Arabidopsis thaliana: one gene and its partners. The main gene of each other region encodes a partner of the protein of the gene in region 2 in a complex. Each region holds a gene or a part of one and is shown on either strand. Other genes may lie near its edges.

Evidence for each region.
Region 1: PSRP3/2 (region 2) and rps15 share a complex: the UniProt entries of both Arabidopsis thaliana proteins name them as parts of the 30S ribosomal subunit.
Region 3: PSRP3/2 (region 2) and AT3G13120 share a complex: the UniProt entries of both Arabidopsis thaliana proteins name them as parts of the 30S ribosomal subunit.

Annotation. Positions count from the first base shown.
Region 1 is NC_000932.1:121,658-127,006, reverse strand, and holds rps15 (ribosomal protein S15), read left to right. Parts: upstream 1-3,444; coding exon 3,445-3,711; downstream 3,712-5,349. Other genes in the region: ndhH (NADH dehydrogenase subunit 7), read left to right, coding at 3,815-4,996; ndhA (NADH dehydrogenase subunit 1), read left to right, coding at 4,998-5,349.
Region 2 is NC_003076.8:5,137,934-5,149,312, forward strand, and holds PSRP3/2 (Ribosomal protein PSRP-3/Ycf65), read left to right. Parts: upstream 1-5,056; 5' UTR 5,057-5,166; coding exon 5,167-5,433; intron 5,434-5,687; coding exon 5,688-5,972; 3' UTR 5,973-6,159; coding exon of another isoform or gene 6,160-6,609; 3' UTR 6,610-6,673; downstream 6,674-11,379. Other genes in the region: AT5G15750 (Alpha-L RNA-binding motif/Ribosomal protein S4 family protein), read left to right, coding at 3,516-3,649, 3,771-3,878, 4,358-4,432, 4,537-4,768; GNA1 (glucose-6-phosphate acetyltransferase 1), read right to left, coding at 6,160-6,609; AT5G15780 (Pollen Ole e 1 allergen and extensin family protein), read right to left, coding at 6,965-7,974, 8,169-8,364. UniProt on the Arabidopsis thaliana protein: Component of the chloroplast ribosome (chloro-ribosome), a dedicated translation machinery responsible for the synthesis of chloroplast genome-encoded proteins, including proteins of the transcription and translation machinery and components of the photosynthetic apparatus.
Region 3 is NC_003074.8:4,214,768-4,227,019, reverse strand, and holds AT3G13120 (Ribosomal protein S10p/S20e family protein), read left to right. Parts: upstream 1-5,372; 5' UTR 5,373-5,493; coding exon 5,494-5,718; intron 5,719-5,870; coding exon 5,871-5,909; intron 5,910-6,398; coding exon 6,399-6,710; 3' UTR 6,711-6,731; exon of another isoform or gene 6,732-6,747; intron 6,748-6,919; 3' UTR 6,920-7,710; downstream 7,711-12,252. Other genes in the region: AT3G13140 (hydroxyproline-rich glycoprotein family protein), read left to right, coding at 1-366; AT3G13130 (uncharacterized protein), read right to left, coding at 3,407-4,012; SERAT2;2 (serine acetyltransferase 2;2), read left to right, coding at 10,906-12,081.

The DNA of each region.
Region 1 (5,349 bases), on a different chromosome or scaffold from region 2:
GAACAATCAAAAAGAGAAGAAACAAGACGGATAGAAATTGCAGAAACTTGGGATAGCTTCCTATTTGCTCAAATAATAAGAGGTTCTCTCTTAGTAACTCAATCAATTCTTAGAAAATATATTATATTACCTTTATTGATAATAATTAAAAACAGTGTCCGTATGTTATTATTTCAATTTCCCGAGTGGTCCCAGGATTTAAAGGATTGGAAACGTGAAATGCATGTTAAATGTACTTATAATGGGGTTCAACTATCCGAAACAGAATTTCCAAGAAACTGGTTAACGGATGGTATTCAGATAAAAATCCTATTTCCTTTTTATCTTAAACCTTGGCATAAATCTAAATTTCAAGCATCTCAGAAGGCTCGACTAAAAAAAACAAAAGACAAAGGAGAAAAAAATGATTTTTGTTTCTTAACAGTTTGGGGAATGGAAACCGAACTACCGTTTGGTTCTGCCCAAAGAAAGCCTTCTTTTTTTGAACCTATTTCTAAAGAATTAAAAAAAAGAATCAAAAAATTAAAAAAAAAGTCTTTTGTGGTTTTAAAGATTTTCAAAGAAAGAGCACCCATTTTCCTAAAAGTCGCAAAAGAAACTAAAAACTGGATTCTCAAAAACTTTATTTTTATAAAAGGAATTTCAAAACGAAATCTAATTCCATTATTTGGCCCGAGAGAAATATATGAATTAAATGAACCTAAAAAAGATTCAATAATAAGTAATCAGATGATTCATGAACTATCTGTTCAAAATAAATCCTTGGAGTGGACAAATTCTTCACTTAGCGAAAAAAAAATCAAAAATTTGATTGATAGAAAAAAGACAATCAGAAATCAAATAGAAGAAATTTCAAAAGAAAAACAAAACTTAACTAATAGTTGTACCAAACTGCGTTATGATTCTAAAATAATTGAGTCATCAAAAAAAATTTGGCAGACATTCAAAAGAAAAAATACCCGATTAATTCGTAAATCCATTTTTTTTTTTAAATTTTGCATCGAACAAATGTCTATAGCTATTTTTCTAGGTATCATTAATATTCCAAGAATTACTACACAACTTTTTTTTGAATCAACAAAAAAAATTCTTGATAAATATATTTACAAGAATGAAGAAAATGGAGAAAAAAAAAAAAATACTCTTTATTTTATTTCGACTATAAAAAATTTAATATCCAATAAAAAAAAAATGAGTTATGACCTATGCTCTTTATCACAAGCATATGTATTTTACAAATTATCACAAATTAAAGTTAGTAACTTTTGTAAATTAAAGGCTGTTCTTGAATATAACATATGCATAACATCCTTTTTTGTTAAGAATAAAATAAAGGTTTTTTTTCAAGAACACGGAATCTTTCATTATGAATTGAAAAATAAAACCTTTTTGAATTCCGAAGTAAATCAATGGAAAAACTGGTTACGAAGTCAGTATCAATACAATTTACCCCAGATTTCATGGGCTAGATTAGTAACCCAAAATTGGAAAAATAAAATAAATAAAGATTCTCTAGTTCTAAACCCAAGTTTAACCAAAGAGGATTCATATGAAAAAAAGAAATTTGATAATTATAAAAAACAAAAATTTTTTGAGGCCGACTCATTATTAAATCCAAAACATAATGTAAAAAAAGATTCTATATATAATCTTTTTTGCTATAAATCTATTCATTCTACAGAAAAAAATTTTGACATGTCTATAGGCATTGCCCTAGATAATTGTTTAGTCTCTTCTTTTCTAGAAAAATATAATATTCGGGGTATGGGGGAAATTCGGCATAGAAAATATTTGGATTGGAGAATTCTTAACTTTTGGTTTACAAAAAAAGTAACTATTGAGCCTTGGGTTGATACTAAGAGTAAAAAAAAATATATTAATACTAAAGTTCAGAATTATCAAAAAATTGATAAAATAACGCAGACGGATCTTGCTAATAAAAAAAGAAACTTTTTTGATTGGATGGGAATGAATGAAGAAATACTAAATCAGCGTATAACAAATTTTGAATTTTTTTTCTTTCCGGAATTTTTCTTATTTTCTAGTACATATAAAATGAAACCATGGGTCATACCAATCAAATTACTTCTTTTAAATTTTAATGAAAACATAAATGTTAATAAAAAGATCATTCGAAAGAAAAAAGGTTTTATACCATCAAATGAAAAAGAATCCCTTCGATTTTATAATCTGAATAAAGAAGAAAAAGAATCGGCCGGTCAAGTAGAACTTGAATCAGATAAAGAAACAAAAAGAAATCCCGAAGCAGCTCGATTAAACCAAGAAAAAAATATTGAAGAAAATTTTGCAGAATCAACAATAAAAAAACGTAAAAATAAAAAACAATACAAAAGTAATACAGAAGCGGAACTTGATTTATTTCTGACAAGATATTCGCGTTTTCAATTGCGATGGAATTGTTTTTTTAATCAAAAAATTCTCAATAATGTAAAAGTATACTGTCTCTTGGTTAGACTAAACAATCCAAACGAAATAGCGGTATCTTCTATTGAAAGAGGAGAGATGAGCCTAGACATTCTAATGATTGAGAAAAATTTCACTTTTGCAAAATTAATGAAAAAAGGAATATTGATTATTGAACCTGTGCGTTTGTCTGTACAAAACGATGGACAACTTATTATATATAGAACCATAGGTATTTCATTGGTTCATAAAAATAAACACAAAATAAGTAAAAGATACAAAAAAAAAAGCTATATTAATAAAAAATTTTTTGAAAAATCCATTACAAAATATCAAAACAAAACTGTAAATAAAAAAAAAAATAATTATGATTTCTTTGTCCCTGAAAAAATTCTATCCCCTAAACGACGTAGAGAATTTCGAATTCTAATTTGTTTCAACTTAAAAAAAAAAAATGCTAGGGATACAAATTCAAGATTTGATAAGAATATTCAAAACTTGACCACCGTTTTGCATAAAAAGAAAGATCTTGATCTTGATAAGGATAAAAATAACTTAATTAATTTAAAATCCTTTCTTTGGCCCAATTTTAAATTAGAAGATTTAGCTTGTATGAATCGCTATTGGTTTAATACTACTAACGGAAATCATTTCAGTATGATAAGAATACGCATGTATACGCGATTTCCAATTCCTTAATCATAAATACTTTTTACTATATATAATAAGTTACGGTATATGAAAACAACTATATGCACAAATATGAGGGATTGTTTTAAATTAAATCTTTATACATGAGATTAATTTAATCAATCACATAGATACCAATTATAGCGGATTCATAAATAAATTAACAGAATCCTTCTTTTTGAGATCTAAATTTAGATTTTTTTCTAAAATGAAGAATTAAGAGGTTGATAATTAAATTAAGATCCTTGTACAAAAAAACTACCATTATTATTACTGATCAGTAAAATTAATATCTTTCAATTCATATTAAAAGGGGAAGGATTTCTTTTTATGATAAAAAATATAGTCATTTCATTTGAAGAACAAAAAGAAGAAAGCAGGGGATCCGTTGAATTTCAAGTATTTAGTTTCACTAATAAGATACGAAGACTTACTTCACATTTGGAATTGCACAGAAAAGATTATTTATCTCAGCGGGGTCTACGAAAAATTCTGGGAAAACGTCAACGACTGCTGGCTTATTTGTCAAAAAAAAATAGAGTACGTTATAAAGAATTAATTAATCAGTTGAATATTCGGGAATTAAAAACTCGTTAAATTCAAAAATTGTGAATTAGTGAATTTTTTAGATCTTGAATTTTTTGATAAACTTCTTTATTCAGAAATCTAATTCATGCCAGAACGAATCAAGGAAAAACTTATGAAGAGACCAGTTACAGGAAAAGATCTTATGATAGTCAATATGGGACCTCACCACCCATCCATGCATGGTGTTCTTCGCTTAATTGTTACTCTAGATGGTGAGGATGTTGTTGACTGTGAACCCATATTAGGTTATTTACACAGAGGAATGGAAAAAATTGCAGAAAACCGAGCAATTATACAATATTTACCGTATGTAACGCGATGGGATTATTTAGCTACTATGTTTACAGAAGCAATAACAGTAAATGGACCAGAACAATTGGGAAATATTCAAGTTCCTAAAAGGGCCAGCTATATCAGAGTAATTATGCTGGAATTGAGTCGTATAGCTTCTCATCTGTTATGGCTCGGCCCTTTTATGGCAGATATTGGTGCACAGACTCCCTTTTTCTATATTTTCAGAGAACGAGAATTTGTATATGATCTATTCGAAGCTGCCACCGGTATGAGAATGATGCATAATTTTTTTCGTATTGGAGGAATAGCGGCTGATTTACCTTATGGTTGGATAGATAAATGCTTGGATTTTTGTGATTATTTTTTAACAGAGGTTGTTGAATATCAAAAACTCATTACACGAAATCCTATTTTTTTAGAACGGGTTGAAGGAGTTGGGATTATTGGTGGGGAAGAAGCAATAAATTGGGGTTTATCCGGACCAATGCTACGCGCATCCGGAATACCATGGGATCTTCGTAAAATTGATCGTTATGAGTCTTACGATGAATTTGAATGGGAAATTCAATGGCAAAAACAAGGAGATTCATTAGCTCGTTATTTAGTACGACTTAGCGAAATGACAGAATCCATAAAAATTATTCAACAGGCTCTGGAAGGACTTCCAGGGGGTCCCTATGAGAATTTAGAAAGCAGGGGCTTTGATAGAAAAAGGAATCCAGAATGGAATGATTTTGAATATCGATTCATTAGTAAAAAACCTTCTCCTACTTTTGAATTATCAAAACAAGAACTTTATGTAAGAGTTGAAGCTCCAAAAGGGGAGTTGGGAATTTTTCTCATAGGAGATCAAAGCGGTTTTCCTTGGAGATGGAAAATACGACCACCGGGTTTTATTAATTTGCAAATTCTTCCTGAACTAGTTAAAAGAATGAAATTGGCTGATATTATGACGATACTCGGTAGCATAGATATAATTATGGGAGAAGTTGATCGTTAAAATGATAATTTATGCAACAGCAGTCCAAACTATAAATTCTTTTGTTAAATTGGAATCTTTAAAAGAGGTCTATGGACTCATATGGATATTTGTCCCTATATTTTCTCTTGTATTGGGAATCATAACAGGTGTACTAGTAATTGTGTGGTTAGAAAGAGAAATATCTGCAGGGATACAACAACGTATTGGACCTGAATACGCCGGCCCGTTGGGAATTCTTCAAGCTCTAGCCGATGGGACAAAACTACTTTTCAAAGAAAATCTTCGTCCATCTAGAGGAAATACTCCTTTATTTAGTATTGGACCATCTATAGCAGTTATCTCTATTTTACTAAGTTATTCAGTAATTCCCT
Region 2 (11,379 bases):
TTGGAAGTTAAATAACAGAGTTTCAGTTATATCTAAACCACATTAGCAGGTTGCCCCTAGACTAACTCTGTCATTAAGCAAAACTAATCCACAAGTTAACTTCCAGAAAGTATTTGACAAGAAAATAAAATCAAATTACATATTTAACATACATAAATATGTGTTAACCCAATCATTTTCAAGATTGGTTGAAAAACGAAATTAAATTTTATTTGAGTTAACTAATAAAATAAATTTATCGATAAATGGAAATTAATACGGCAAGATTCATTTTCTGTCGGTTCTTTATAAAAATAAAATTAAAAAATTGTTCAAAAGGGCATATTCTAGACTTGTGGATCGCTCGTTTTGTGACAGCAATGACAAAGAGAGATCCAAATAAATATTGAATATTTGGCAAATAAATAAAATAAAAAAGTAGGCCTACAATATACTATATAATAATTAAATATATATGGATGGACCAACTCTATTTATTGCTCACAGTTGTCATTTGTCAATCTAAAATAAAATATAGAAAAGTATGTGGAAGTGTATTATGTTTATTGATTAAAAAGAATTAAACGATAAAAAGGTCCAAAACATTAGATCAAAACTTAAGCTAGCTTTGTTACCTTGATTTCGACTGAAGTATGGTATAAATCTGGCCCCGAGCCGACTGAACTAACATTTTCAGCATTATGTTATTCGAAATTTCGACAGTATGATAATGAGTATATTTAAAAGAAGCATTATGTATAATTTTGAGAGAAGAAAAGATTGAGCATTTTTTAGTATGTTTTTTTTTTTTAGGGTGAAAATTGGATCTAAGGATATTTATAGGAAACAAATGGATGAATACATAAGAAGGAATTAATATGTTTCGTCATGAACCAAGTAACCAACATAAATAGATACATTTTAAACTTTTTATAAAAGCAGCCATTAATAGAAGATGGTCTTTTAAAATTGGATTTGTTTTATTTGCTTTTCAAATTTTATCACAATTTTGTCTTGTTCATAGTTTTTAAGAAAAATATTAACCACAACTTTGTCTTGTTCATATTTTATTTTACAAAATTGGCTAAAATCACATTCTATTTATTTATGAGTTTTAAAATATAAATTAGATTTTGGTGATATTCAATTTATAATATTTTAATAAATTTTCAGTAGTCTCTCTAGAAATATACAAGTTTTTTTAATGTACCTCTAAATATTTTAAAATCAAGAAAATCAATCTAGATATGGTTCTTTATAAGAAAGTACACAAGCCAACAAACACTCGTAGTCTCGTAGATGTTTTTATCAAGTATATATATATACATTCATTATACTATTTTCAAATCGTTGGTAAATCAACTGATAATTTTTTTTTCCTATCCATTATATATAAAACAAATATAAATATGTCGCCTATTACATCATAAAATTTGAGGAAGTAAAAAAAAAATTGAAATTTCAAACCTATCAACTAAATTTTCTGATTTAACAGATTTAATTTATTTTTATTTTTTTAGTTTAAAAAAACTCATTCATTAAACATGTGAAAGTGACTAACCACGATGTCTAGCTGTAGCGGCAGTTTAATAAAGCTTTAAGCAATGATCTCGCTCGCCGGCCAAGTTTAGAAACAATGAAAGATCAAATTGAATGATTTGTTTTCTTTTGTCATTCGTGAAGACAATTTAAAAAGATACACGTGTAGATGTGAGGTTATGAACAGGTTATTGTTTTAAAACACAGCATTATATCAGCCAATATATATCAATATATAGACGATGTTCGGTCCAAAAATCTAGATCAATCTCCTTCATGTTTGCTATTCGAAAATGATTGTTATTTATATCAAATCGTGCGTGTAACATCGATTGATAAATATTGGAAATTTAAGTAAAGGCCAATTGTCACGTAATGACTTGAAAGCATCTCCAATGTAATTCAGTATTTATTTCTTTTCACTTGACGATAGAAGAATTTGATTAGAGATGAGTTACTTATTGAGCGAATTAATGTACGTTATTTTCTATGACCATATACATTCCACCGACATCGGACATTACACTGCTGTCGGAACTTAATGATTTATTTTTCTAAATACGAATACATTTCTCCAATGGAAAAAATCTAAGAGTTTTAAGATTTTTCTATAACTGTAATTGTCATTTCAACGAAGAGTTTAAGAAGAAAACAGAGAGAAAAGCGTGTAAATATCTGTAGTTTTAATCAAATGGGTCATTTCTATTTCAGTCTATATATTTAATCAAAATTGCAATTCACAAATTTTAATGCTTACGTATTTTAAGTAACATTAAATGAACATCTTCGTCCTAAAAGTTACTTGATATTAATAGAAAGGTAAAGTAACAGAACAAAGCATTAACGATATATTTATATTTCAAAACTTACACACAAGTATTCAGAATTAAGAAAAGAACAAAACAAATAAAGGAGACGTTTCTGCGATTATGTTTTTGCTTGAAATAGAACAAACAAACACGTATTGGTAAAGAAACCAATAACTTTGAAGATAGCTTAAACGCAAAATATATAGTGAAAAAAGGGAAATCAACAATTATTATATATCCCCACGAAACTCGGTGTCGGTGGCTCAATCATCTTAACACTCTAAACTTTTAAGCCCATTCGTGCGCATGCGTGTATGTATATACGTGTGCATTGGATTTGAAATTTTGGTCGTTATCGAGAGTTCTAGTAGATTATGCATTTTGTGTAACAAGTGTAATATAATTGGGACCCTTTATTACTTTCTATAAAACTTAATTCTTTTAACCTATAGATCACCCGTTTGTCAATTATATCAATCAAGGGTCCCTTATTAGCTGCATTTTCCGATCGATAATAGAGAAGATCATCCAATGCTTTACAATCACTTCCATGCGACCTCACATACAATTACTTCCATTGCATAGTATGTAGTAAAACTATATATTTTGCTTCCAATGGATTTGATGCTTGTTTATGCTTAGAACTTCCAAATAATCTTTTTTAACGTAGCGAATTGATTTTGCATTCAAAGCACCCTTAGTAAATCCGTTTCCTAGTCTAGTCCCATAATTAAGGTAAAATCTACATGGGCTTCTCAGGCCCATAATGAGAAGTTTAAAAGGCTCAACTCAACAAGATTTAGTTATGCTAAGGCCTTACAAGTTACAATCAAACAGAGGATAGGGACCGTCGGATTTATCTGACTTCCTCTCCTTCGATTAGGGTTTCTGAATTACTACTCCTCTGCCAATTAGGGTTTAAGCCTCTCCAGCATTTTCTTTCAGCTCAAACCCAAGAACCTCATCGCCGATTATTTCTTCATCCTTACTCTATCCCGCGCCGATTAATCTCTCTCAGGTAAACTACTTCAATTTTACTCATAGACTAATTGTACAGAGATTGATAAATCCTATGTTGTTCCCATTAGAATGTTCAAGGGTTTATGATTATTCAGGATTTCAAATCTGAATTATTGGACAAATAAACCCTAATTTCGTATAATTTGCATATCATCAGTACCGTCCGAGATGAGAAAGCTCAAGTATCACGAGAAGAAGCTTATAAAGAAAGTAAATTTCTTAGAATGGAAAAGAGAAGGTAACCATCGGGAAAACGAGATTACGTATCGATACCACATGGGCTCTCGTGATGATTACAAAAAGTTGGTACCTTTATTTGCTCTTAAAGCTCTGTTCTACTTATTCTTCTTCTTCTGGTTCGAGTGTTTTGTGATGAACAATGGTCTTTTTCTGATTCTTGAGAATGTTTTTTCTTTTGGGCAGGTATTCAGGATTGTGTAGGATGGTGCAGAAACTGACGAATATAATGAAACAAATGGATCCAGCAGATCCTTTTCGTATTCAGATGACTGATATGCTTTTGGAGAAGCTGTGAGTTTTTTAAATATATATACCAGTTTGTTCAAGTATAGAGCTTATTACAAGCAATGGTTCTTTGTTTTCTCTAGATTTAGGTCGTAGAACATGAGACTTGATCATTTTCTGCAGTTTTTTACACCGATCTTATCTTAGAGACCTCCTGTTGTTTTTCTTGTTAACCACTTTTAGAGATAATTAAAATTGGGGGTCCTTATGCTTCTATATAGATTTTAGGACCGTTGGTTTGAAATCCATTAGAGGTTGAATTCATCCTGGTAAAATGTGTGATCTAATGGGTTTCTTTCAGAATCTGTTTCTTGAATAGCTTCTACATAGAGCTAAGTTACTATATAATATAGGCTTATTGTATAGGGAAAAAGAGCCATCCTACTGAAACTTGTTGATTGCGTAGTTCCACTCTGCAATGAGAAAACTTGTTCTCTTAATGGCTGACTGACTTGTGTTTCTTACATGTACGCTTGAAACGGCAGATATAACATGGGTGTTATACCGACTAGGAAAAGCTTGACTCTAACTGAGCGGTTATCAGTTTCATCCTTCTGTAGGTAAGAGTATATGCAAGAGCCTATATAGGCAGTTACTTAAACCCTTGATAGCCAAATGTTCTCATTTCGTTTGCCTCATATCGGTTCTTTTTTTTTATTTGCAGGCGTAGGCTATCTACTGTGCTGGTTCACCTGAAGTTTGCAGAGCACCACAAAGAAGCTGTGACATACATAGAGCAAGGACACGTTCGTGTAGGACCAGAAACAATTACTGATCCAGCTTTCTTAGTAACTCGGAACATGGAAGATTTCATCACTTGGGTTGATTCATCCAAGATTAAACGAAAGGTTCTTGAGTACAATGACACATTGGATGATTATGACATGCTTGCTTAGCTTTGAGGAAGTTAAAAAAGACTGATGTTTTGTAAAAGCCAAAAAAGGTTCACTGCTACTACTATTGCAGGGTTTGTTTGGATTTTTGAATATGCAAATGTGCTACTATTCCCTTGTCTTTAATCTTACTTTCGATCTATTTGCAAGAAGAAACTTGAAAACAAATGTCATGAAAATATTGAATCTAACTCATATTATCGTCAAATTGTATAAGTTGGAGCCACAGAAATGGATGAACATAAAATATTAAATCTAATTATTATTTGACACTTCAAATTACAAAACCCGTTTGATTCGATCCGACCCGACCCGACCAGAAAATCGCAAAACCTGTGTTTTTGCTTTCCCCGGTCTCTCAAAATAAAATTGCTCGCTTAGAAGCTTCAAACGCAGCTGAAATGGCGGTTCAAGCAAATCAGAGTGCTTCTTTTGGGTTCAGAACAGCTTCACCTTCTCAGAAGCTCTCTTCGAAACCCATAGCTCATATCTCTCTATCGACGAAGCTCAAACCCTCTTCTCGACCATCGCTTTCGTGCTCTACTTGGAATCAGGGTCAAATTCCGGCGAGACACTCCTGTATCAATCCCGGAATATTCGCATATCCCCCCTCCAATCTTACCTTCTCTCATGAACTACCAGAATCTGAATCTCCGCCACTTGGAAAGGTCAGTCATCGTCAAAAAACTTCTCTTGGAACAAATTGGGGTTATAAGCTTGTTAGACAAAGTTGCAGCCTTTTTTTGTCATTTGAACGAAAATGTGGTAAACCAAATGTATTGTCTCCATCTATTTAATTGTGGTAGAAGAGGCAGTGTGTGCTAGTGTTAAACCTCCCTTATGTTGCTTCATTGTGAAAACTTTTGTGAAAGGAAGTAGAGATGTATGATTCTTCCCTTGTTATCGTCATCTTATATTGCAGAAGAAGATGCGTGTGTTAGTGAAGCCGCTAGAGAAACCAAAGGTGGTACTGAAGTTTGTATGGATGCAAAAGGACATAGGAGTTGCATTAGACCATATGATTCCAGGATTTGGAACAATCCCACTTAGTCCATACTACTTCTGGCCTAGGAAAGATGCTTGGGAAGAGCTCAAAACTTTGTTAGAGAGCAAGCCTTGGATCTCTGAGCTTCATCGTGTCTTCCTCCTTAACCAAGCTACAGACATCATCAATCTTTGGCAATCAAGCGGTGGAGATTTGTCTTGATTTGGATTCACCAGATATATCTGTTTATCATAGGTATCATTAACTTTTCAAAGTCTAAAGCTTTTGTGTTGTTTAGTCTATCATTAGTCCTCTGTGTAATCATCGAAACTCGAAAAAACTTCTATCATTAAAATGGCGAATTCAAAACAAGAAAACAAAAGATCATCATCATCATCATGATGAACGTTTAATCGAAGTACTTAGACATTTGAATCGATTTATTACTCATCCCACATTTCTCATAGAACACTTTGTTCTCCACACTACAATCTAGAATCACCTTATAGCAACCCATTGATTTGCAATGATCCATAAGAAACTCAACAACTTTCTTCCCCAGCTGTTTCCCGCGAAACCTTGAATCCACAACAACGTCTTCAATGTGCCCAGCTTTACCGCAATTCCTCAGAAACTTCTTCTCTATCATCACACTACCCGTAGCAGCGATTTTTCCCGAAGTTTCTTCTTCGATCACGCAGATCACGTGGTCGTCACCATACGATCTGATTTCTTCGAATCGCCGATCGAATTCTTCGTCTGTTACTGATCCGGTGACGGTTAGTTGACCTAGAAGCTCGATGAATCCTTTTCTCTTATCGGAGATCTCCAGTTTTCGGATCTTGAATGTCTCAGCCATAGAATCAGATCGGATAATTTTGAATTTGAGTTTTTTTTTATAAGATCCAGTCACTCACTGGAACTGAATATAATCACCCATAGAAAAACAAATGTGATAATTACGAAAAGGTACTTATTCTTTTAGATAGTTACAAAAAGTTTCCGAATCTCTTAATGAAGTCAAAATGGGCCATTTGTTTTTTAAATTGACTTTTGATGTAACAAAAGCAGCAAGATAAAAACTCCATAGTAAACAATATTTATTGAAATGACAACAAGCCAACAAGTGAAAATGCAGAGGAAAAAAGTAACAATTTAAAGCGGATGATACATATAGATTACATAATTGGAAATGTAAGGAAAGGATTGCTAATTTAGGGTTGATGGTGACTAGAAAAGGAAGGTGAAAGAGGAGGGATTCCCGGGATGAGAGGGGCCGGAGGGATTCCAGGGATAAGAGGGACCGGAGGGATGCCAGGGAGTCCAGGGACCGGAGGGAGCGGAACAGGGAAAGAAGGTGGTGGTGGCGGTAGTGAAGGCGGATTCACGATAGGGACAGGTGGAAGAACCGGAAGAGGTGGAAGAGTCGGAATTGTTGGAATCGGTGGCAGAGTAGGAGTCGGGGGAGTAGGAAGTAACGGAATTGTAGGGAGAGTTGGGGGAGTAGGGATTAGTGGGATTGGAGGGAGACTTGGGGGAGAAGGAATAAGCGGGTTTGGAGGGAGAGTAGGGGTTGGGATAGAAGGAATGAGCGGGTTTGGAGGGATGATAGATGGCGGGTTTAACGGGTTTGGCGGAAAGAAGAAATTGGGTTTTAGTGCTTCGGTTTTCTTGTCTTTCAAGGAATCAGATTTCTTGTTATGCAAGGAAGCTGATTTCTGAGGTCCTGGTGGAAGAAGAGGAGGAACTAGAGGAAGAGGTAAGTCCGGAACAGGTAACTTTGGAACAGGTAAGTTTGGAAGAGGAGGAACGATAGGGAGATTTGGGAGAGGGGAAGGATTAGGAGGATCTTGGAGCGGTGGAGGAAATGAAGGATCCGGTAAAAGAGGCTTGGAACCGCGGAGATTGATAGGTTTTTGGCTACAAATCTCTGGTTGGTTTTCGGGTCTGAAAGTGAAGAACCCTGCAGAGAAAACCCTAGTATTCTCTCCATGATGGTTTGATTTAAGGCGTTTGAGAGAAGAAGAAGTAGCAGACGAAGCTATAGAACAGTAAGGCTGTGAGCTACTTAGCAACTTCACAGAGCATCTCTTGATCTTCTTCACATGTTTGCTCACAGAGAATGGTAGCTTCACTTTGAATTCGCCGCGCTTGTCTGTTTTCACTTCTTGTCTGAAACTCGGTTTCGAGTTCTCGTCAATGCATTCCACTGCAACTAAAGCACCTGCAACAAGATCCACAAAACTTTTCATAATTCTTTCTAAGATTTTAGACCCACAAACAAGAAAAAACCCTATAAGTTTCCAAAACAGAGTGCTCTGTTCTAGAATCCAAAAAACATTATTTTCCAAGTAGTGTTACCAAGAAAACACGAGCAAGACTGCAAGAGGAAAAAAAAACAAAAATCAGAAACCAGACCTGAGATTAAGTGGTTGGGTGATTTCGAGAAGGCGCCGTTAAAACAAGTGTCACAGTAGACAGTTCCTACTACAACTGCAGAAGAACGTGTCTTCTTCATAACATGTTGCTGTCCTTGAGACAAACCTCCATTGATAGAGATTCCTAAGAAAATCATAAGACTAAACCAAAACCATAAGGTCGTTATTCTCTCCATAATTATCGACTCTATCTCTCACTATCGGAGGAAAGAGGGGGTATATATATAGGAGTGTGGTGTGAAGATGAGTGAGCCACGAAAAACGAAGAGATTGTTAAAAGATGAGTGAAGCTTATCTCTTTTTGTTTTGCCATGTTAATAAGAATCATGGGAAAAATACAAAATCGAACTACAAAGCTAGCTACTATAATGTCTTGTGACCCTATCTTTCTACAGCTCAGTAGCTGAATTATTGTAAAAAATAGTAAGAGGTGAGAAAAAAGACAACACTAATATTTTGGATTCACGTTCGCGTGTCGATTAGATTTGATCGAACAGTACACGGTAAAAACACGTTCAAAGTAAAATACCAAACCTGTTATATCATTGTTTCTTGAATTGCGGGGTTGCTAAAACTAAAAAAATTCAGACACATATGATTTTTTTTTTTTTTTCTGAGTTAAAGGTTCCGAAGATGAACATATCTGAGATACTTTTGTGTTGAAAATATCTGTTATCATCATCTTTCCCTTATTTACATTCTGAATTTTGGATGAGACTAAAACATGACATGATGTTTTCATTTCCAAACTGTGAATCACTGTCTGTCATGTTTGATGTTTATAGTATAGTCTACATCCATGTTTTTTTAAAGAATGACATTTACAATCATTATTGTTAGAAGGATATCCTAATTGTCAATATTACATCGAAATATTTATTTTTAGAACATCCGAGAATAGATGATTAGTTACTGTGGTGATGATTTTGATAGTTAACTAATATCAGTAACAGTCTATCATGGACGGATTTACATATTTCTAATCGGTAATCCAAACTAGATGTAAGAAGAGGTTACAGAGATTCATTAATTCGCAATATAATTGTTCTAAGAAACTTATACATTGCTTATTATACATTTGTTTATAGATTTGGAGAAACATATAGCCAGTGAGGCTAAAGTTGATAACTAGACTTAAGTAAGTTATAGTTTCTATTTTCTTTAACAGAGGAAACAATACATGCAATTTAAGAAAGTGAAGGCTTATGGGAATGAGAATGGGGAAGGGAATACAGTTGGAGAGTCTCTGTCGATTCACGAGACACTAAGGATGTCCACACAATCATATATACCCAATTCTTACTTCTGTCTTCTTATAGAGTACTACATACATACTCATTCTTGATAAGGGACAAAAAATTAAATAAAATGAGTTAAAGAATGTGAATGTTTTTTAATGGTATTAAAGACTCTGAATGTTCTTCTCGAATTTTCATATTTTAACTTTTGATTTTTGTGTTTTTTTTTAATCAGGAACGCCGTATGTGCTAAAAAAAATACCATTTCATGAGAATAAACAAATTCTATTAGTCGACGACATAAAAAACAACAAACAAACACTATGGTGGATTATAGATAGACTAGGGAATATTGTAACTTTATAAAAAATATTGAAAAAATATGAAAACATTGTAAACTAAAAATCATTAATTTCTAGATAATATAGGACTAAATAATAAAATGGGCCAAGATCAAATTAACCCAAACTGTAGTTTACAACTTGGTTGTTCCCATTCCTTGATATGGGCTAAGTGACATAAAAAGCCCGACTCTTTATTGTCCACTAACAATTGGTCTTTTAACTTCTTGATGGATTAATTGTGGGTGTAGAAGATTATTTTGACTATATAAAAACAGAAAATTAACTAAATATTTTCGATATATTAAATAACTAGATGATAGATGATTTTTTTTTGCAGTAATTTCATAAATTTAGTTTCATAAATTAGTTTGGTTGAATTCAAATTTAGTAAATTGTCAAATTTGAGACATAGATGATAGAACTAAGATTAGTAATTAGTAGCGCTATATATGACTCAATGGATGTGAACAAGATGATAATTTAAAAAAATGTTTTATAAAATTCTTTTTGTCCAATGAACAATAGGTTAAAACGGACAAATTTACTTTTGTGATTTAATTATTGCCATGCATTTTGGCATATAGTCACTCTGTTTCATAATATAAGCTGTTTAATTTTTGTCATTTAACAATTTTAATACGTGTAACATTTCGTCATGCAATGTTATTTTATGTGTAGATATCTAATTTATTAAATGTACTTTTATTTCAGTTATAAAAGTTATACATAATCTGCGATTATAAAATTTTATATTAATATAATGCGTTAAACATTAAGTATCTGTTTACGATAATACCAAAATAAAAAACAAGGGAAAAATTCCATCCCAAATTTTTGCTTTTGTTACTTTTGAATAGCAAATCTCTAATGTATTATTTTTCTAAAATAAAATCTTCCTATCCTAATGTCATCATCTACAAAATCATTAAAATATGTAATGTCTGATTAACTAAAATAATTTTATCAACTAGTATAAAATAAGAGAATCAACCAAAAAAGTTTGGTTTAAATTGTATAGAGAGAGTCCTCCATTAGCGTCCAGCAACAACGCCCACCCACTTTCACACCAACTTGAACACACTACTCCTCCTCCTTCACTTTTTCCTTCAATCTCTCTTCTCGCTGACGACTTGGAAATAAAGTGAGGGAAAATATTCCTCCAACTTCACTTTCCTGAGAATCTGCAAATAAAGCAATTCAACTTCCTTTTCTTTCTTTCTAAATGAAATTTCGTTCTTTGTCTCAGTCTCTCTCTCTTTCTTCGGTCGAGTCCGATCAAAATTGAAAACCCATTGAGTTCCTCGCCAAAAGGTATAGTCTTCGTTATTTCTTCTGTAATTGGATAATGGGGTTTGATCGATTCTGATTAGTACAATCCCAAAGTGTTGTTCTTTGTTTTCTGGTAAATTTTCTCTGCTTTTTTTGTGTTCTGTTTTAAAACAATTATTCTGAGTTAAGCAAAGCAACTTGTGGTTTTGTTGTGTAATGATATCAAGTGGGTTATTTTTTTTATTATAAGTTTCTCTGTTTTATTGCGTTTGTTAGGGATTATCTACCTAAATTAGGTTTCAACTTTTAATCGGTTAGTTGCTTGCATTTCACTTTGACC
Region 3 (12,252 bases), on a different chromosome or scaffold from region 2:
CGGTACGGTGAACATGGAAAGATCACTAATCTCCGTTTCGACGGAGAAGTTATGACTCCTCGCGGCGGCGGTGGTTATTACGGTCAATCAGGCTATTACATTCCTACCACCTCCCGTGGTAACTATGCATATCCTTCGTTGTATCAATATCCTCCTCCGCCACATGTTTATGGCGGAAACTATGCTCATCCGCCGTCAAATCCCCCGCGGCACTCGGAGGCACCACGGCAGGCAACTAACCCGCATACAACACCGCCGTATTATAGTCTACCGGCGCCACCACCAAGAACGTTGCATAGTTACTCTTACGTAGAACCGCAGTATCGGATGTCGAGTTCGTCGGGTAGTGGATGCGTGATCATGTAATGTCTCATTGAGGAAGATGAATCTTCTTTTTTTGGTCTCAAAACCGCGTTTTAGGTTTATTCTATTCTTGATCGCTGTTTTTTTATATAGCGATTGCGTTATAGACGCGGATTCTATGTTTTTTTAAGAACCAAGAACACAAATTGTTGATTAATGGACTCCTAGGGCCATTCCAACTTTGTGGAAGTCCTTGACACACATTTTCTCTTTGTATTTGAAGTCATTATTTTAGTAGAATGAGTATAATTTTCACTATGTTCAACCAATCATGTTTTATCTCTTCAACTGGACATCTGTTTTCACATCAATTGGTTTTTGTCGACAAACAATAGCTATGTGCTCATTTTCATTTCAATATTGCTGGTTTATCAATAAAATGACAACAAGAATAAAAGGATATCAACATTGACTTTATGCTTAGCACTTTAACTTTGTTGCTATGGCCATATGAAACAAAAAAAAAATGAAACCGGGGATTAGATCTAAAACCCAAAAATAAAACATTTTGATCGGATATAATGAGCCTTAAGCTTATATACTATTAACACTAGTTCATATTCCAAGGTTTACTGATGAGTGATGAGTGTTGGGTCCATTAACCTCCCCGTACACAAACCACCCACAGGAACCAGTGAACAAATTACTGATTACTTCTTCCTTCAAACTTGACCGCTCATTCTTTCATCATTTTGCCTTTTGTGGTTGCAAAGAGTATAAGTTTTCAGTGTTTGAGCTTCGTAGTTCGTGCCATGGTTTCCTTCCCTTTGACACATACTTGAAAACAATTACATCTATTTACTCTACTGTTCCATATTAACTCAAACTATAGCATCTGAATGCATTATTATCTTTCCCACAAAATACTGTTTTTGTTTTAATATAAAGTCATATAACATCTTACCAAGTTTTTTTCTTTTAGTAAGTTACGAATATTGATATGATTTTTGGCTTTAGAGCTTTGAACATTATTGAGCATATGATTGTTTACATGTATATGTGGTTTAATCAATTTTCCTCTCAACAGGAATTGGACCCACTTAATATTAATTGTTATAGTATTATAGCTTGATTCTTTTGGTTTTGTTTCTTTGTCCATTGATTGAGTTTACTGTTCCTTCTCCATGTCTTTCGGTTCTACTTTATTTTTTAATTTTGGATTTTGGTATGTGTAGACAGCTCCATATGCATGATTGCTCTATACACTACCATTCATCTCTTGTTAGGTATTTACGGCTTTTTTATATCTATCATACGCCGTTTATATCTTAGATGATCGCCAAAACTGAAACCTACTTATGGAATGATACAAACTAAGATGTATAAAGTCGTTAGTTTAGAATACTTACATGCCAAACTTGTTGCAATCAAAGCCTAATATCATTTTATATAACATGAAATAAGCTGACCCATTTATTATCTTATTTTGTTTTGTCATATTTAGTTGTATAAGTAAGTTCATTTTAAATATAAACGGGAGTGGACATGTTCTGCTGTGTCAAAATCGTATAGTCTATCACTATTCGATAGATCTTTCGCTCCTCAATCGTTTTCTTAAACTAGTTAACCAAGAAAATTTACGGGTTTTTGTATTAGTAATTACATATACTCAATAGAGTACCAAATCTTCATTATCCATTCATTTCAACTGTCTCATTCCTGCTTGTTTGATACATGTAACATTCAGTATTAAACTCTTCTTTCTGGTTTTTTTTTTTTTTTTTTTTTTTTTTTGGTGTTTTCACGTTGATCAATTGAATTAGTCAAATCAAATGTTTTCCTTTTAATAAAAACCTCTCGAAAGGACTAGAGAAAAGATAAATCACATTAAATGGAACATGCATGATGCTAGCTAGTGTAGTTGAACCGTTTCAGAAAACAAAACAAAAAGTTGTTCAAAGTGAAAACCCAACTAAGCGATCGACTAGAAGATTCTCAACAAATTTCACAGTAACTTTATTTTTTAATATTCAAATAAAAATGATCTTATGGAGACTAGTGATGATGAATATGTAGGATAGGATAGTGGGGGAACTGATAAAAAAAAAGTATGGAGGTCTAAAACTAAAAGCAGAGAGCAGAGAATCTATATATGGAGTCTTTAAAGCAAACTTATATTACTTTTTAAACATATATTCGATTCTTCGTTCTCGTTGATAAATATTCTACAGGTTGTACATATGGATTGATGGATCATGGGATTAAATATATGTACACAATACATCATTTTGACGTAACTTATAACATTGTTAGAATTTTGTAATGAGTCTGAAAGTTTCTACAGTTATCATCTTAGGGCTTACTAATAGCTATTATATTATTGTTAAGAATACGTAATAACATTGATAAATGCGTATGTACATTTTACTTTTACCAAACCCATGATCAATTTAAAGAAATCTATACGTACTGTTCAAGCTTGGAATCATGGTACCGGATGTTCTGTTGGCCACGGAATCAGCAAAAGTTATCAGATCAAGAAAATTAAACATTTTAAAAATCAACTATAGCCAAGAAATAGAAAAAAATGGCTCAATCCATCACATATCATGTTTACACGAAAGTACATCATCTCCTAAAAGACATATAGAATTAGGAATATCCATCATACGTTTTTCTTTGACATTGAAAATTCATTATATGCAAAGGTATACACGTGTGCATGCACGGACAGCATTATTCCCCCGAAACTATCGGGTGTAGACAACACACCGCTAAAAACATGTAGTACATCAGTCTAGCCTATAGAACTAATAATGGAGTTCGATATGAAATATGTAAACATATAATTTTGTATGTATATGATCATATTGTAGTTTAATCGTATTTGACGAGTTTCATTTTTGCATAATATATACGAGGTAACAATTTTCAAGAAAAAGTGTAACGCGAGAGAATTACTTAGATTTAAAAAGGATTCCATTAAAAGAGATGCTTACAGAGGCTAGGAGGATGTAGAAGAAGCTAGAAAACGTAACTCGCTCTCTATATGAGCAAATTGCGTTTGATTAAACTTAAACAAAACTGATTAATTAGAAAGTACTCAAACAAGGATTAAATGCCGTTTAGCTTCGATTCTAAGCTCTTCCTTCATCTTTCTGATGAACTCGTCGAATTTCTTATTCATCTCCTCCTCCGTCGATGTCATCACTCCTACGTTCCCTTCTTCTTCCTCGTTTATAGATCCGCCACGAAGACCACACTCTTCCTCTCCATCATTATCTGCTAATGTGTTGTCGTCGTCATCTTCTTCTTCGTTGTCCTCGGTTTCTTGATGTTTTGTATCTTCCTCCACTGTAACTTCCTCTGCAAGAAAGGACTCTGTTCCTATTCCATGATCAGATTTATACTCTAGCTCCAGTATCGTAGTGTAACTCTCGAAATCTCCATAATCAAAGGTTTTATCGGTATTACTCCAAATTTTCTCTATTGGTTTGGACGAAGCGACCAAACCAGAACACTTAGCAACAACCACTACGAGACCATTGCAGAGGAGGAACATGTAGTTTTTATCTACTGCGTGTGTTACGAGTTGGATCATGAACCTATATAAATAGAAGTCGTGGCTGGTTAAAAGAGATAAAATCCACATCGAAACTGCTATAAACTTGGTCAATTTCTTCAGAAACTCCGGTTTTATTTGATCCATCTCTCTGGTTTCTTTTCTTTGGTTTTGTGAGTGAATGGTGAGGACTAGAATAAGAAGAAGAAGAAGAAGGAATTAAACAGGTTAAAGTGTAATTGTGCAAAGCGTTACACTACACTCAACGGCTTTGGTATTTATAGAATTTAAGCCAAAGGCAATGGGCATCTGTGGATGATTTTACCAAACCACCCCTTGTTCTGAAGCTGCATGGCTGCATGCCACGTGTGAAGTGTGATTTCCCAGTTATGTGGATAAAAAAAAGTCTCTGTGTTTCTTCTATTGTTTGTTTGTCAACTAATCCATGTTTTCTTATGTCCTATTATTGGTTACATTGCGAAACGACCTCTGGTTAGTGTTCCAAAAGTTCCGAATCTTTTATGACCTCTGATGGAATTCGGATTTTTTTTCTTTTTATATCATCAAGCTATACATGATGACTTAGCTTTTATGGTATGTTAATGGTAAAGGAATATGACTTTTAAGTCATGTATAGCTTGATGATATATATAAAAAAAAATACTCATGATTGAGACAAATACAAACGGAATAGTAAGGGATGATTGGTCTTTGAATAGTGTGAGGGCTTGTGGACAATAATATTTAGAAGATGTCATTGTCTTTTATGTCTTTGATTGGTTTAAGTCATTTTCCTTCTTTAAATTGCATGGATTTGGCGACATCATTATGTTAATTGTTAGGCTTCTTCTACATGTATTTTGCTTTTATTAAAAAAAAATTATACTTGAACTACGCTAACACCTTATATTTCCGTGTGAGATTATGGATCACACATTTGAAGGTATATATTTACAGATTATGGATCACACAATTACAGATAAAATTAAGAACAATGCATTTAAAAGTCAAAAATCAAAACTACGGAATCCTTCCTTGATATTATTGTCTTTTGTATTCAAATTAATATTATTTTATGAGTTTGTATTATTTCATCGAATATTTATATTGTCCATTTTTTTCCACATTCATTGCATATTTTCATGGGGTTTTGTTTGTCAAGTAGTTCATTTTGTCTTCCACTTTTCTTAAATTTTCCATCTACTTCACGAATGTTTGTGTGTTGAATTTTCCAAAAGATATTTATGAGATACAAAAGAATCTTCTAAAGACAGATCACAATCCACAAGAAAGAAAATACCGAAAGACAAATGAATCATATTTTACTAGGTTAGAATATTTTTGGTCCCCAAAAGAACTATAAAATATGGGCCTAATGGGTACTTTTGGTCCCTAACAGAAACTATACAATTTGGGCCTAATGGGTATTCATTTATAATAAGCGTAGGCCTTTTAATGAATTAATGGGCTTAGAATAAATAATATCTCATCATTTAAAAAAGAGAGAAAAAGGTTTTGGATAAAATGGATAACCCTCAAGAAGAAGCTGCTGAAGAAGAAACCTCATCCTTCGAACGTTAAGAGGAAGAAGAATAAGAGAAATCGATTCGTGGTTTTGGGAAAATTCAATGGCGGTTTCTACTGTATCGTCGTTTCTATTGCCATCTTTCGGCATTCCAAGCTCTTCGCCTTCTTCTACCAGACTCAAAGTCTCTCTGCTGCCTTCATCTTCTACCCATGGCGGCCTTAGTTCCTGCGTCCTTACGAAACCATCCGTCTCGCTTACGAAGGTCTTCGCTGTTCCCGATACCCTAGATCCAACTCCAGAAATTCTCGATGAACCCGCCTCTGAGGTACACTCTTTCCTCTGTCAGTCTCGGATTCGATTGTTTGCAGAGCTAATGCGAAATTTGGGGGGGGGGGGGGAAAGACATTGTTTTGCAGAATCATTTAGCACTTTGATGTTAATTCTGTTAATAATAGTCTTTGTGTCTGTGTGATTCAGGTTCCGAGCTCTTCATCCATCAGTGTAGACGCGGATAAGGTATATTCCGTTACTGTTACAGCTCACTTACTAGAATACAGATTTTACGAGTACTTGTGCATTGGTGTGTTCTAAATTCTGTGTCCATCTTCGTCAAAACAGTAGACTTTTTTGCTTTACTACGTTTTCACAGCGCTAAAAAGTATCATATCTGTTCTAACACCAATGCCCATTGCTGTGTTAGAGGTCACTGCTAGAAATTGATACGCAAATTTTCAAATTTGATGTCTTCAATGTCTATCTTTGTCAGATCAATAGACTTCTTTGGTTTACTACGTTTTTTCAGAGCGATAAAGAGTCTCATTTGTGTGAAATGCCTTCAAGTAGATATCATCTTGTATATACAGGAAAGGAGAAGTAATTGTATAGAAATCTTGATCGTCTTTAGATGGTATCTTCATAAGATTTGCCACAATAGAGTTTTGTTTTAAGGGGTCTTGTGGAGTTTCATTGTGTTTGGTTTAATTTGATTTATTTTTGTGTTATCAGATGGCGCCAAAGCAAAAGATTAGGATCAAGCTTAGATCATACTGGGTGCCTCTTATTGAGGACTCATGCAAGCAGATACTTGATGCTGCGAGAAACACCAATGCAAAGACGATGGGTCCTGTTCCATTGCCAACCAAGAAGCGTATCTACTGTGTTCTCAAGTCTCCTCACGTTCACAAGGATGCTAGGTTCCATTTTGAAATCCGGACACACCAGCGCATGATTGATATTCTCTACCCGACTGCTCAAACTATCGATTCTTTGATGCAACTTGATCTTCCTGCTGGTGTCGATGTGGAAGTGAAGCTCTGAAGAAGAAGCGTAACTACAATGGTAACAAACAAAAAAAGTGATCTCTCTTCTTAATGGTTTTTGAATATTGATGTGTCTTAGCTACTGAAACTGCACATAGGCTCCAATATTTATCCTCAAAAACAAAACTTCATCAAATTACAATCTTTCTCTGTTGACCATCAAGATCTTGATGCTTGTTCTTAACCAAAGTGTTTTTTCTTCCTCAGATGTGATGGGCACTTTTGCATTGAATGAACAGACTGTTTCAGATCAACTACATTGCTTAGAACTGGTAAGCCTTGTATCATCTTTTTTGAGAACCTTTGTAACGAAAATGTAAGTTGTATTATCTGGTCCTTGGAATCTATCTTTAGCGATGCTTGGTTCTTAGTTGATGAACATATCCTTAATTAAGCAAGTTCAAAGGAATTTGTTTTTGTTTTACTAATTGTTATGCAGTTTGCCTGTGTCCATTATGATAAGTTTTTTTATTTTTGTTGTATTCAAAGTGGAATCTTTTTTTTGAATATAAGTATTATAGTAGTATTATAGTAGGAATAAGAAGATGCACAACTTGAGTTATTTTAAAACCAGGAGGTTGGAATCTTGAAAGCGACTTCATTATTATAATAAACGTATAAGTTCGTTTATCCACAAACTCAATAGGGAAATTATAATTTTTTGTCACAACACATTTCATTTATCAATTATCCTCTAGACTCAGTTCGTCTCTTTTCTTAGCAGCCAATTAAAACCTGCAAGTGTTGTTTTACCAGTCTTTCCTTTCCAAGCTTACGAAACGATCCAAGGGAAAAAACAGTAATGGTTTCGAATTTATGTCTGATAAGTCGATGGCGCTTTTTCTTATCTAATTTGGAATTTTGGATGATGCAGAAATTGTCAACCCCCCAATATTATAAAGTTGAAGAATATTCTTTTCCATGTTCAATCATACACACAACTATATCATTATTTTAATCATATGAAATGGTTTTTGGTATAGTAAGAAGTGGTTCATTGTAAGATAATGTCTTGACCAAAGAAGAAAGAAAACGAATAGTCGCCAAAATTGAATTTGGTTTAAGTAGATGAGACAATGATGTGGCGGTTTATAATAGTCGTTAAAGTTAAGGCATATTCCCACGATATACCAACATGGACCGTCCATTATTATTTATTTTGATTATAGTTTGTTCTCAAAAACACTCGAATAAATTGCTTTTTTTTTTCACAGCATTACTGAAATCATACATAATTTCTGCTTCCATAATCTTATATTTTACGAGATCGGTTTTATGATAAACTTTCAAGTAGTACCATTATGGGTTGTATTTTCTTTTACTACCATTTTGGGTTTATTGCAATTTGCATAAACATATTCAAAACTATTTTGCGTTCAACCAAATGGTTAAACTCTGGTTCATATTGATATACCAAAACACTCATATTGGATCAAATATGTAAGGTGATAATAACACTGATATGAACTAGTATACTATGTCTTATGAGTCACTATTTTCTCTAACTTTAATAAAAGTTTAGCTGTGATTCATTATTCGTGATTATGGTATCCTCATATCAGAATTGCTTTGTTCTAATTCAGTCTTATTGTTCACTAATCCTGATCGAAAATACATGGCCACATTAGAAGCATCAAACAAACAGGGTTTTATGTTTTCCACACTCGAAGAGACAATATTTTCAACGGCTGAAACTGAAAGGAAACAAAATATAATTTTAAGACAAAAAAAAAAGAAAAGAAAACATATATTTCTTCTTTTGGTTGTAGTATTTTGAGACCTCACTGATTGTCGGAAAATAATTGGAGGGGTTCCCACTGATTTTGAATTTCTGTAATACCAATTGTTTGTTTTATTAGAAAACAACACCTTCAATTTGTATTTTCCCCTTGTTGTTTGGGATGGCAGTTACTTAAATAAAATATTTATCTAAAACCCATCGAAGAAATTGATTCTAAACATAACAAATAGTTATTTTTTTTCACACAATCTCACTTGGATATAGTTTATTAAGTCGCTGGTAGTCAAATATCTTCGTTTTAACATATAAGCTTTTTATTATGTTAATTTTTTGGTTTTCACATCATATGATTATGTTAATTGATAAAGCTATTTAATTGATCAGAAAGAGCGAGAGCCACATGATAAATTCAAGTGACTTTGGCTTGAAAATAGGACGATGGCTTCACGGATCTATAGACTAACTAAGTCATCTGTCATTACATACGTCACGTTTATTTCATTTTATAATTACAAAAACACCAAAGTTAAATCAAATTATTCTTTGTTTTTGTCAACTGATTTGATATTGATAAATTTGTTGAAATTAAGTATATAGTACACACGGGAGTGACTAAAAAAAAAAAAAAAAAAAGAGAAACTAAAGCCGATATGCAATGAATAAATACTCGGAATCAAAAACGGGAGGAACACAAAAAATTATTGGAGTCTAAGCCATATAGAAAAAAAAAAGATATTAAAACCACAAAGCATAAAACTCAAAGCAAAATGAAAAAAAAACATATATTCTTACCTAAAAATATAAGCAACTAGGCATATATAAACCTTACTAAACAACACTAGTTAAGTCAAATTAGTCTTAAATTGATTTATGAAAGGTCTATTATACACGTCTAACAAAAAGGGTTTATATATCTCGAAGGTGGCAATGAAATATATAGTTCTTGTGTTGAACAAAGGTAATGAAATATTTAAAATTAAATTTCACTTGTATGGGATTGCACTTGCTCGTATTCACGTCATAGTGAATTGTGATAATATATTCTTTTTTTTCTTTTCATTGTGATAATTTTATTTTTTAGTCGTTATAGTTTGTTGTTTTGGTATATACAAAAAAGAATGAACAACAAAAAAGTGGGTTGATGGTAACCAAAAAAAAGTAGGTGTCACAAAAAAGAACATGTGATAGATGAGCCTCACTCCCGAAAAGAAGATGTACACAAAAACTCTGACCACAATTTAAAATGATAATAAACATGTGTTTTTTAAAATTCTTTTACCAAACAAGTGCTACTTTATTACGACAGTCGACATATATGTCCTTTTAATTTTTGTTAATTCAATCGCACGAGAATTAAAACAATGATTCGATTTGCTATGCCATTTTTTTTCAAAAATAAATTACACACATTTTTCTAAATTAAATCCCAAAGAAAATATAAACAAATCTTATTATATAAATTATGGTTTTCAAAGTTACTAACTCATACGATTATACCACGTGTCAAGTCTATCGATCAGATGTTGATACGTGTAAGAAAATAATTAACTTTTTTCTTTTAAAAAAAATAGAAATACTAAAAAAGAAATCAATTAACTTTTTTCTTCTTAAAGAATTAGATAACTAAAAAATAAATCATTATTAACATATACTAATTCATATGACTATATCTAAAAAAGATTACATTTTATTTTTCTTAACCAAAAGGATAATTAACAAAAAAAATATATATATGTTATTGGTCAAATTTTTAATATATATGGTATTAACAAAATTTGTATTATTATTAATTATGTTTTGTTAATTGTTAATAATTTTTAATATTAACTAAGATATAGATTTGATCTCATATAAATATTATTTTGACATGAAATTATTATCAAGTAAGATGAAGTGTGTAGAATTAAAATCGAGTTTTTTATGAAATAGATAGTTAAAATGTATTACAAAATTGAATGTGTAAGATAAAAATTTGTTTTTTTATTCTAAATACTAAATTATAATAAAGAAAAAATGTGTATGTTACTATTTAGACTTCAAATATCATCAATAAGATTGAATGAGTATAATAAAATAAAATGCATAAAACTACTATTTTACTATTCAAAATTATATATCAAAACAATATATAAATTATTATTTTACTATTCAAAATTTAAATATTATTGATAAAAAATTATATTTACATCTTACACCTGACCTTATCTAGTTTCTTATATAAGTTGCAATAAAAATACCAACAGATTCATAACTTTTTTTGGCACCCAGTCTCTCCACTCCTAGTGGCCACTAGTGTTCACACACAGTCAAAAAATTTTAATACAAAAAAAATTAGGAATCGAATTCAAAAAGGAAAGAAATCTAAAGAAGAAGACAGAGAGAGAAACAATCTCCAAAATACATAAATTTGTTCACATCCTTCCGTTTTTTGTTTGGCCGAGAAAAAAAAAAAATGTTGCCGGTCACAAGTCGCCGCCACTTCACAATGTCCCTATATATGCTCCGTTCATCTTCTCCACACATCAATCATCACTCTTTCCTTCTTCCTTCTTTTGTTTCCTCCAAATTCAAACACCATACTTTATCTCCTCCTCCTTCTCCTCCTCCTCCTCCTCCTATGGCTGCGTGCATCGACACCTGCCGCACTGGTAAACCCCAGATTTCTCCTCGCGATTCTTCTAAACACCACGACGATGAATCTGGCTTTCGTTACATGAACTACTTCCGTTATCCTGATCGATCTTCCTTCAATGGAACCCAGACCAAAACCCTCCATACTCGTCCTTTGCTTGAAGATCTCGATCGCGACGCTGAAGTCGATGATGTTTGGGCCAAAATCCGAGAAGAGGCTAAATCTGATATCGCCAAAGAACCTATTGTTTCCGCTTATTATCACGCTTCGATTGTTTCTCAGCGTTCGTTGGAAGCTGCGTTGGCGAATACTTTATCTGTTAAACTCAGCAATTTGAATCTTCCAAGCAACACGCTTTTCGATTTGTTCTCTGGTGTTCTTCAAGGAAACCCAGATATTGTTGAATCTGTCAAGCTAGATCTTTTAGCTGTTAAGGAGAGAGATCCTGCTTGTATAAGCTACGTTCATTGTTTCCTTCACTTTAAAGGCTTCCTCGCTTGTCAAGCGCATCGTATTGCTCATGAGCTTTGGACTCAGGACAGAAAAATCCTAGCTTTGTTGATCCAGAACAGAGTCTCTGAAGCCTTCGCTGTTGATTTCCACCCTGGAGCTAAAATCGGTACCGGGATTTTGCTAGACCATGCTACGGCTATTGTGATCGGTGAGACGGCGGTTGTGGGGAACAATGTTTCGATTCTCCATAACGTTACGCTTGGAGGAACGGGGAAACAGTGTGGAGATAGGCACCCGAAGATTGGCGATGGGGTTTTGATTGGAGCTGGGACTTGTATTTTGGGGAATATCACGATTGGTGAAGGAGCTAAGATTGGTGCGGGGTCGGTGGTGTTGAAAGACGTGCCGCCGCGTACGACGGCTGTTGGAAATCCGGCGAGGTTGCTTGGTGGTAAAGATAATCCGAAAACGCATGACAAGATTCCTGGTTTGACTATGGACCAGACGTCGCATATATCCGAGTGGTCGGATTATGTAATTTGAAAAAGTCTTTGTTTTTGGTTGTTGTTGTTGTTTATGGCTTTTCATTGTTCTCTCGGCTTCTTCTGTTATTGAAGCTGGTGAAGTATATGATATGCGATGATGCTGTTTCCATAATCAGATCATTTGTCTCTCCATAAGATAACACTGATTAAGATGGGATTGGAAAGTAAA